2 linked regions of the Xenopus tropicalis genome follow. Each later gene encodes a partner of the first gene's protein in a complex. Links are inferred from orthologs where the notes say so. Each region holds a gene or a part of one and is shown on either strand. Other genes may lie near its edges. The genes, in order: ncapd2 and ncaph.

The links.
Region 2: ncapd2 (region 1) and ncaph share a complex: the UniProt entries of both Homo sapiens proteins name them as parts of the condensin complex. The link is inferred for Xenopus tropicalis from reciprocal best matches to the Homo sapiens genes NCAPD2 and NCAPH.

The regions. Positions count from the first base shown.
Region 1 is NC_030683.2:9,986,970-9,990,789, forward strand, and holds part of ncapd2 (condensin complex subunit 1), read left to right. Parts: coding exon 1-54; intron 55-264; coding exon 265-439; intron 440-2,144; coding exon 2,145-2,229; intron 2,230-2,526; coding exon 2,527-2,660; intron 2,661-2,937; coding exon 2,938-3,070; intron 3,071-3,158; coding exon 3,159-3,243; intron 3,244-3,820. UniProt on the Homo sapiens protein: Regulatory subunit of the condensin complex, a complex required for conversion of interphase chromatin into mitotic-like condense chromosomes.
Region 2 is NC_030679.2:125,124,432-125,128,251, forward strand, and holds part of ncaph (condensin complex subunit 2), read left to right. Parts: intron 1-8; coding exon 9-169; intron 170-249; coding exon 250-353; intron 354-3,820. UniProt on the Homo sapiens protein: Regulatory subunit of the condensin complex, a complex required for conversion of interphase chromatin into mitotic-like condense chromosomes.

The sequences.
Region 1 (3,820 bases):
TAGAAGAAGCGATTGATGTCATTAGTAAAATGATGTATGAAACTGCTGTGTCAGGTAATGCATAAACTACTATAGAAGTTTGTTCTAAACTTGTACCATAATGGATATCCTATACGGGAAAGCAGCAACTGATAACTACCGTGTTTACTGTGTGTGGGAATCTGTTATAACATGGCAGATATCTGGTCATTTTTAACCAAAATTGCCAAATCCTGTTAACTTTTTGCTTTTAACCCACTCGTTTCTGTGTCTTTTGTATCTTAGTGGTGCAGGAAGTCATTGAGTTCTTTGTGACCGTGTCCCAGTTTGGAGTCTCCCAAGCTCTGCTTGGCGTACGTCGCATGCTACCCCTGGTCTGGTCCAAAGAGCCAGGAGTTCGCGAGGCTGTACTTAGTGCCTATCGACGATTGTACCTCACCTCGAATGGGGAGTCGGAGAGGTAACTGCTTTGTTTTGCCTTTCTCCAACACATAATGGATGGTGCATTTTTTTTTTAATATGGCTAAATATAGGGGGCCTCAATATTTTTTGCATGAACTGAAGGTCCTCAATGTCCTTCTGGTTTGTGCTTTAGTGCAGGGTGATACGTATGCTGGCATAGTTACAGGCTGTGCAAACAATTTAATAGGGTCCTTGCTGCAGGTATGCCTGTGGAATCCATAGTTATCCCCCCTATTCATGCCATTTCATGCCCCTTTGCCTACCTTTTTTTAAAGGACATCCTTTTTATAGTCTAGCGTAGGATTCTCATAAGATCTGATTGGGATGTGGCTGCTAGTTTGAGATTAATATAGTTTGGCAAGAGTAATCCTACAATTTCAGACAGTAACACTATAGAAGTAGGGCAGTATGGTAAATATATTCACCTATGGTCACCTCTTAATCTCCAACAAATACAAAGGGAAATAAGTGTATAGTGGCACTTTTACAAGGTATTGGCTCTTCAGTGCAGTATTTGTTTCTGTCCATGCAAGCAGGCTGTGACTAAACAGACCAGCATGCATTCTGCCCATTTTGATGATCCCTTTGCAAGATATAGATAATCAAAATGCTTTTAAGACCCCTATTACATAGTTACGTAGTTACATAGGGTTGAAAAAAGACCAGTGTCCATCAAGTTGAACCCATCCAAGTAAACCCAGCACACCTAACCCACACCTACCAATCTATACACTCACATACATAAACTATATATACAACCACTAGTACTAACTGTAGGTATTAGTAACACAATAGCCTTGGATATTCTGCTTGATCAAGAACTCATCCAGGCCCCTCTTAAAGGCATTAACAGAGTCTGCCATTACCCCATCTCTAGGAAGGGCATTCCCCAACCTCACTGCCCTCACTGTGAAAAACCACCTACGCTGCTTCAAATGGAAGCTCTGTTCCTCTAATCTAAAGGGGTGACCTCTGGTGCGCTGATTGTTTTTATGGGAAAAAAGAACATCCCCCAACTGCCTATAATCCCCTCTAATGTACTTGTACAGAGTAATCATGTCCCCTCGCAAGCGCCTCTTTTCCAGAGAGAACAACCCCAACCTCGACAGTCTCACCTCATAGTTTAACCCTTCCATCCCCTTTACCAGTTTAGTTGCAGTCTCTGCACTCTCTCCAGCTCATTAATATCCTTCTTAAGGACTGGAGCCCAAAACTGCACTGCATACTCAAGGTGAGACCTATTGATCGTTTGACGTTTTCCTTACATATTTCTTGGTACAGGTATGGGACCTACTATCCACAATGCTCGGGACCTGGGGTTTTCTGGATAAGGGATCTTTCTGTAATTTGGATCTCCATAACTTAAGTCTGCTAAAAATCATTTAAATATTGAATAAACCCAATAGGCTTGTTCTGCCTCCAATAAGGATTAATTCTATCTTAGTTGGGATCAAGTACAAGGTACTGTTTTATTATTACAGGGAAAAAGGAAATCATTTTTAAAAATTAGAATTATTTGCTTGTAATGGAGTCTATGGGAAATGGCCTTTGTGTAATTTGGAACTTTCTGGATAATGGGTTTCCGGATAAGGGATCCCATACCTGTACTAGTTTTGGCCCCCTGAAGAGTTGCCCACCCCTCCCAGAAAAGCAGTGCTTTGTGATTGTGAAGTTTATTGCTTCTTGTTTCACCTTTTTTATAGGGTTAAAGCTCAGGCCTTGGTTCGGAATCTCTCTCTGCTCATGGTAGATTCCTCCGCAGGAATATTGCAGTGCCTGGAGGAAATTGTGAGTACTTAATCCATCCAGGAATGTCTGGCAAGAGCGCTACACCTTGAGCATACAGCTAGATTGCACTTTTATTGCAATAAATTAACACCTCTGTGCATTTGGCTCATACCTGCCATTATACATCTGTCCCATATCCAATTTGGGCATAAACTATAAAAACCTGTAGTGCAACAGTTATTTTTTCACTCATTTGTTTATATGGACAGATTGTTGGTGGTAAACAGCTGTGTACTTGCTAGAACTTACAAAGCACATTTCACTATTATTGTGCCTAACTTGTTGCTTTAATCTTAGGTCTCAGAATTTATACAGAAAGGAGATATACACCCTACTGTAATACAGTTACTTTGGGAAAAGTTTACCCAGAAGTCTCCTTCCTCTGCCTTGGAGCGAAGGGCAGCAATTATGCTGCTGGGCATGATGACAAAGTAAGATATTGAGAAATACAGACTTTATTATTATTATTATTATACTCTAACCAACATCTAAATCCATTTAGTTCTCCATATTAGGGTCTCTTCCATATTAATGTCTCTGGGCTTTACCCTTAAAGTTTTGATGCCTTTGCTTTGTGCTGCCTTACAAGGAGTATCCTATGCTACTTCCCGCTTTGTATGTGGCTTTGTCTCCTTATCACAAATTGTTCCTTCAGTATATTAATGGCTGTCTGTTTTAACATGATGCTGTCTTTCTTTGCTCTGTTAGGGGGCAACCAGAGATTGTAATGAGCAACCTGGACACTCTGGTGACTGTGGGACTTGGGGAACAAGTGCAGGAGGATTATCAGTTGGCTCAGGAAGTGTGTAACTGCATTCTAAAGATCACAGACAGCCAAAAGGTAAGATGGGGGGGGATGCAAGGTGTTTCCATTTACTTGGCATTTTCATTGGTACTTAATGGAGACTGTTTGCTTTAATATCTTGCAGCCATCTCTGGGCAAGAGCACCGAGCCTTTCCGGCTCCCAAAAGATCACTCTCTATTTGTGCATCTGACAGAGGCTGTTGCCGGAGGTAAGTGTACAGTGTCGGTGCTTCCTCAGTTGTACAAGCCTCTGGGTTGTCAGGGTTATTCTATAGACTGTTATATATTAAAACCATTTTCTTTGTATGTGTTAATTTTTGCCTTTAGGAAGTATTTGCCCGATGCTTTTATATAACCTGTCTGATTCCCCCCCCATGTTCCTCTGAGGGGACGGCCATATTTGTGCAGCAGGAGCCCATTAGCATTAGAAGCTATAACTGCCAGGCTGAGAAGGGACAGCCTATTCTAAACATCTTTCCAGTTGGTCTTCATTTTTTTTCTTGTCATTTTTGTTCTCTGCCTTTTTCTTCTAACTCTTTGGAGCTTTCAGATGGGGGTCTAAACCTATTGCTTATTGATGCTACAGTTTCTTGGGTTTTTTTATTGTTCCTTTTTTATAACTTGATTTTCTATTCAGGTCTTGTCCTATTCATATACCATCCTCTCATTCATACTGCTCCCTGGTTGCTAAGGTAATTTGTACCCTAGCAACCAGGTGCCAGCTGCTGCACAAAAAGTGAAAACTAAACCTACAAATAATAACATAATAACAAATGAAGATACTTC
Region 2 (3,820 bases), on another chromosome or scaffold:
TCAACCAGCTCTCTTTATAGACCACAACTAACTCAAATTGGAAATGGTGACATTGGTACCATGTGCCTCCAACTGTCTTCGTGTCCAGGGGAGTATTCCTATTTCAGCCCCCGTACCATGTCCATGTGGGCAGGCCCCGAGCATTGGCGTTTCCGTCCCCGTCAGAAAGGTAGGTGTGTTTTACTTTTTTTTTCTACCGCAGATGAACTCGGAGCACCACTTATTAACGATTTGCTGTTGTGCCTATAGCCAGCACAGACTCGGACCAACAGAAGGTCAAGAAGGCAAAGAAAGTATTTGAATTAAATTTTGAAGATGACGTTGACTTTGAAGTTCATTTTCGAAAAACCAGAGTGAGTGATCACTTGACAATATTTTAAGAGACTTCTCCCCTCTCATCTACTTGATCTCTTTATCTAGTAATGTGTGTTTCTTCTTTTAAATACATTTTTACTAGTTTTGCACAAATTCCATAATACATAAAATTGATAAAAAGTCAATTGACTAAATCCTGGATTTAGAGATGTTTAGAAATTATCAAGGGCAGCATTTGCCGGGTTTCCATTGTAGACAACATACATGATAATTGTAGCCTGCCCTTTAGAAGTTATATGGACTAATTTCAATAGTATCTGCACGATGTGCAGCAGTATTCACCTGCTTGTCCAGTATCATATTCCCAAACCAATTATATGTCCTGATACTTTTGTACATATCATATATATATTGCTCACACAAACAGACAAGCCTGTTTAATTAGAAAGTTATTGATCTAGCCAACCTTCACATCTAGGTTCTGTTTTAAGACTATTTTCTCTCCCAATAGCTTGGGGGACACAGGGACAATGGGTATAGCTCCACCTGCAGGAGGCAGGACACTAGGTAGGAAATTAAAAAAAAAAAGAGACTCCTCCCTCTCCAGCTATACCCCACGGCGCAGCCTCTATAGCTTCAGTTTTTTCTCCTAGTGTCAGGAGGTAGGACCAGGCTCACTGCCTGCACCTAGGTCAGAAAGTCCAGGATTAGCCTGGACACTTGGGGGGGTTGATCTAGACCTCATCTGTAGGTTCCATTCAGATCCCCCCTCCACCGCTGGATACTCCTTGGGGCCGATAAGTCGCTGCGGCGCTGGCCACCTAGCAGCATTCCTACCCTCGCCAGGGGGATAGATGGCTAGCCAAGGGAGCACCCACCTGGGGGGCAGATCCGGGCCGCAGCGGTAAGTAAGCGCTTACTACAGCAGCGCTGATGGTACTCCCATCCCCCCCCTACCGTCCACCGGGCCTTTCCTATCCCGAAGCGCCGGGGGCCCCCACTTCCGCATTTGAAATGGGCGCGCACAGGCCTGCGCTCCCATTGGCCAACACTTCCTGCTCCGCCGTCGCGCTCCCTCCGTCATACCGCCCGCCCACCAGCGCTTTCTCCTTCGCGCCGTTTCTCACCAGTTCTCTGGCGCAGCTCCTGGGGAGAACACGCATCGCGGCGCAGGGACTCTGCAGCGGTATCGCTCTACCTGTAGGTAGGCTGACTCCCTTTTCCACTTGCTTATCCCTGCAGCGCAGTCTCTCCTGGGGCACTATTGGGGGCAAATATGGCGGAGGGCAGCAAGCAGCTATTCCCTCGGGGCCCAGCCTCTTTGGCTAATATTAAGTTCCTGGCCTGTGCCAATTGCAAAAAGCGCCTGCCCACTGGGCATAAGGAACCCCTTTGTGAGGTTTGCAGACCTTCTGAAACTGCCTCTGCAGCCCCTCAGCCCTTGGCCTTGGATCATTCTGAGCCCTCAGGTTCTGGTGCCCCTCTGCCACCAGACCAGGTTCCCACAGGCCCAGCTGCCACTAATCAGCTTGCCCCTGACTGGGCCCTCCAACTTTCTAGCGGTATTCCCAGACTAGCGGATTCCCTTAACAAGCTATTGGCAAAGCTAGACGCTACTAAACCTACTGCACATAAGCGTCATGCACCTCCTTCATCTGATGAGGAGAGCGACACTCCATTTACGGCTAATTCACCACTTCAACCAGAAGCATCTTTAAGTGAGGGTGAGCTTTCTGGTGATTCGGATATGTTGGGCGAAGACCTGCCCAAGTCATCTTCAGAGGAAATTGAGGCCCTCATCACCTCTGTCATAGATACCCTCAATCTAGGGGATTCCTCTAATTCTGCTGACGCCTCTAAGCTCCTTTTCAAGAGGCAAAAGAAACAATCCGTATGCTTTCCCTCACACGCACAGCTAGATAATATTGTGCAATCTGAATGGGATAACCCTGAGAGGCGATCTCAGTCCAACAAACGTTTCCAGCGTCTCTATCCCTTCCCGCAGGAAACCATAGATACCTGGTCTTCCCCTCCAGTCGTCGATGCTCCGGTGTCGCGCCTCTCCAAAAACACGGCCCTTCCTGTCCCTGATGCGTCCTCCTTCAAGGACGCAATGGACAAAAAATTGGAGGGGTTCTTGCGCTCGGCCTTCTCCGCTTCTGGGACAGCCTTGCGCCCTACCTTCGCCGCCGCTTGGGTAAGCAGGGCAACCCAGTCCTGGACCCAAACTCTCCTGGACAGCATTCTGTCGGGAGTTCCCAGACAGGAACTCGTCCCCATGGTGTCCCAGATCAAAGAGGCTAACTCCTTTATCTGCGAAGCAACCCTTGATGCCGCCCAATTAACCTCTAGGGCCTCGGCCCTTACAGTGGCCGCTCGCAGATCTCTTTGGCTCAAACTTTGGTCTGCAGACCTTTCTTCCAAAAAATCCTTAACTTCCCTCCCCTTCAAGGGTAAGTTACTCTTCGGTACAGAATTGGACAAGATCATCAGCCAGGCCACAGGCGGGAAGAGCACCTTCCTCCCACAGAACAAGTCCCGGCCTTCCTTTCGCAGGGGGAGATTTTTTCGTGGCTCCGGATACAGATCCTCCAAGCCATCCGATTCCTCCCAATCTTCATCCTCCCGAGGCAAATTCAACAACAAGCCTCGCTCCGCCTGGCAGACCCGGAAACCCACTCACAAACAGACGGACAAGTCCACTTCTGCATGACTACCCGTCCGTCTCCTTGCTGCAAGCCCCAGTAGGGGGGCGGTTGCAGCTCTTCCGTGCTCAGTGGCAGACTTATGCCCAGGACTCCTGGGTTTGCGAGGTCATAACACGAGGTTACCACCTCGAATTCACAGCCCCCCCTCCTCACCGCTTCTTCATGTCCAGAACCCCCGGGGACCCTCGCCTCCTCCAGGCTTTTCAGACGGCAATCCAAGACCTACAGGCTGCCGCAGTAATATCCCCAGTACCTCCGGCCGAGAGATTTCAGGGATACTATTCCAATCTTTTCCTCGTTCCCAAGAAGGACGGGTCCTTCCGACCGATTCTCGACCTCAAAGGCATAAACAAATTTATTCGCTACACCAAGTTCAAAATGGAATCTCTGCGCTCAGTCATCGCGGCCATGGGCCCTCAGGAATTCCTCACCGCACTGGACGTGAAAGATGCCTATCTTCACGTCCCCATCTCCCCTCGCCATCAGAGATACTTGCGCTTTGCCTACCGCAACCTACACTTCCAGTTCATGGCCCTGCCGTTCGGCCTCTCTTCAGCCCCGCGTGTCTTCACGAAGATCATGGCGGTTACTGCAGCAGTCATCAGGTCCAGGGGGGTCTCAATCACCCCCTACTTGGACGATCTGCTTATAAAGGCGCCGTCCTTCCAGACAGCGGAGGAGCATCTCCGTCTTTCCATGAGCATTCTACAAGACTTCGGCTGGAAGATCAATCTTGCCAAATCGTCACTCCATCCAAACCAAGTGATGACCTTTCTAGGACTGACCTTCGATACCAG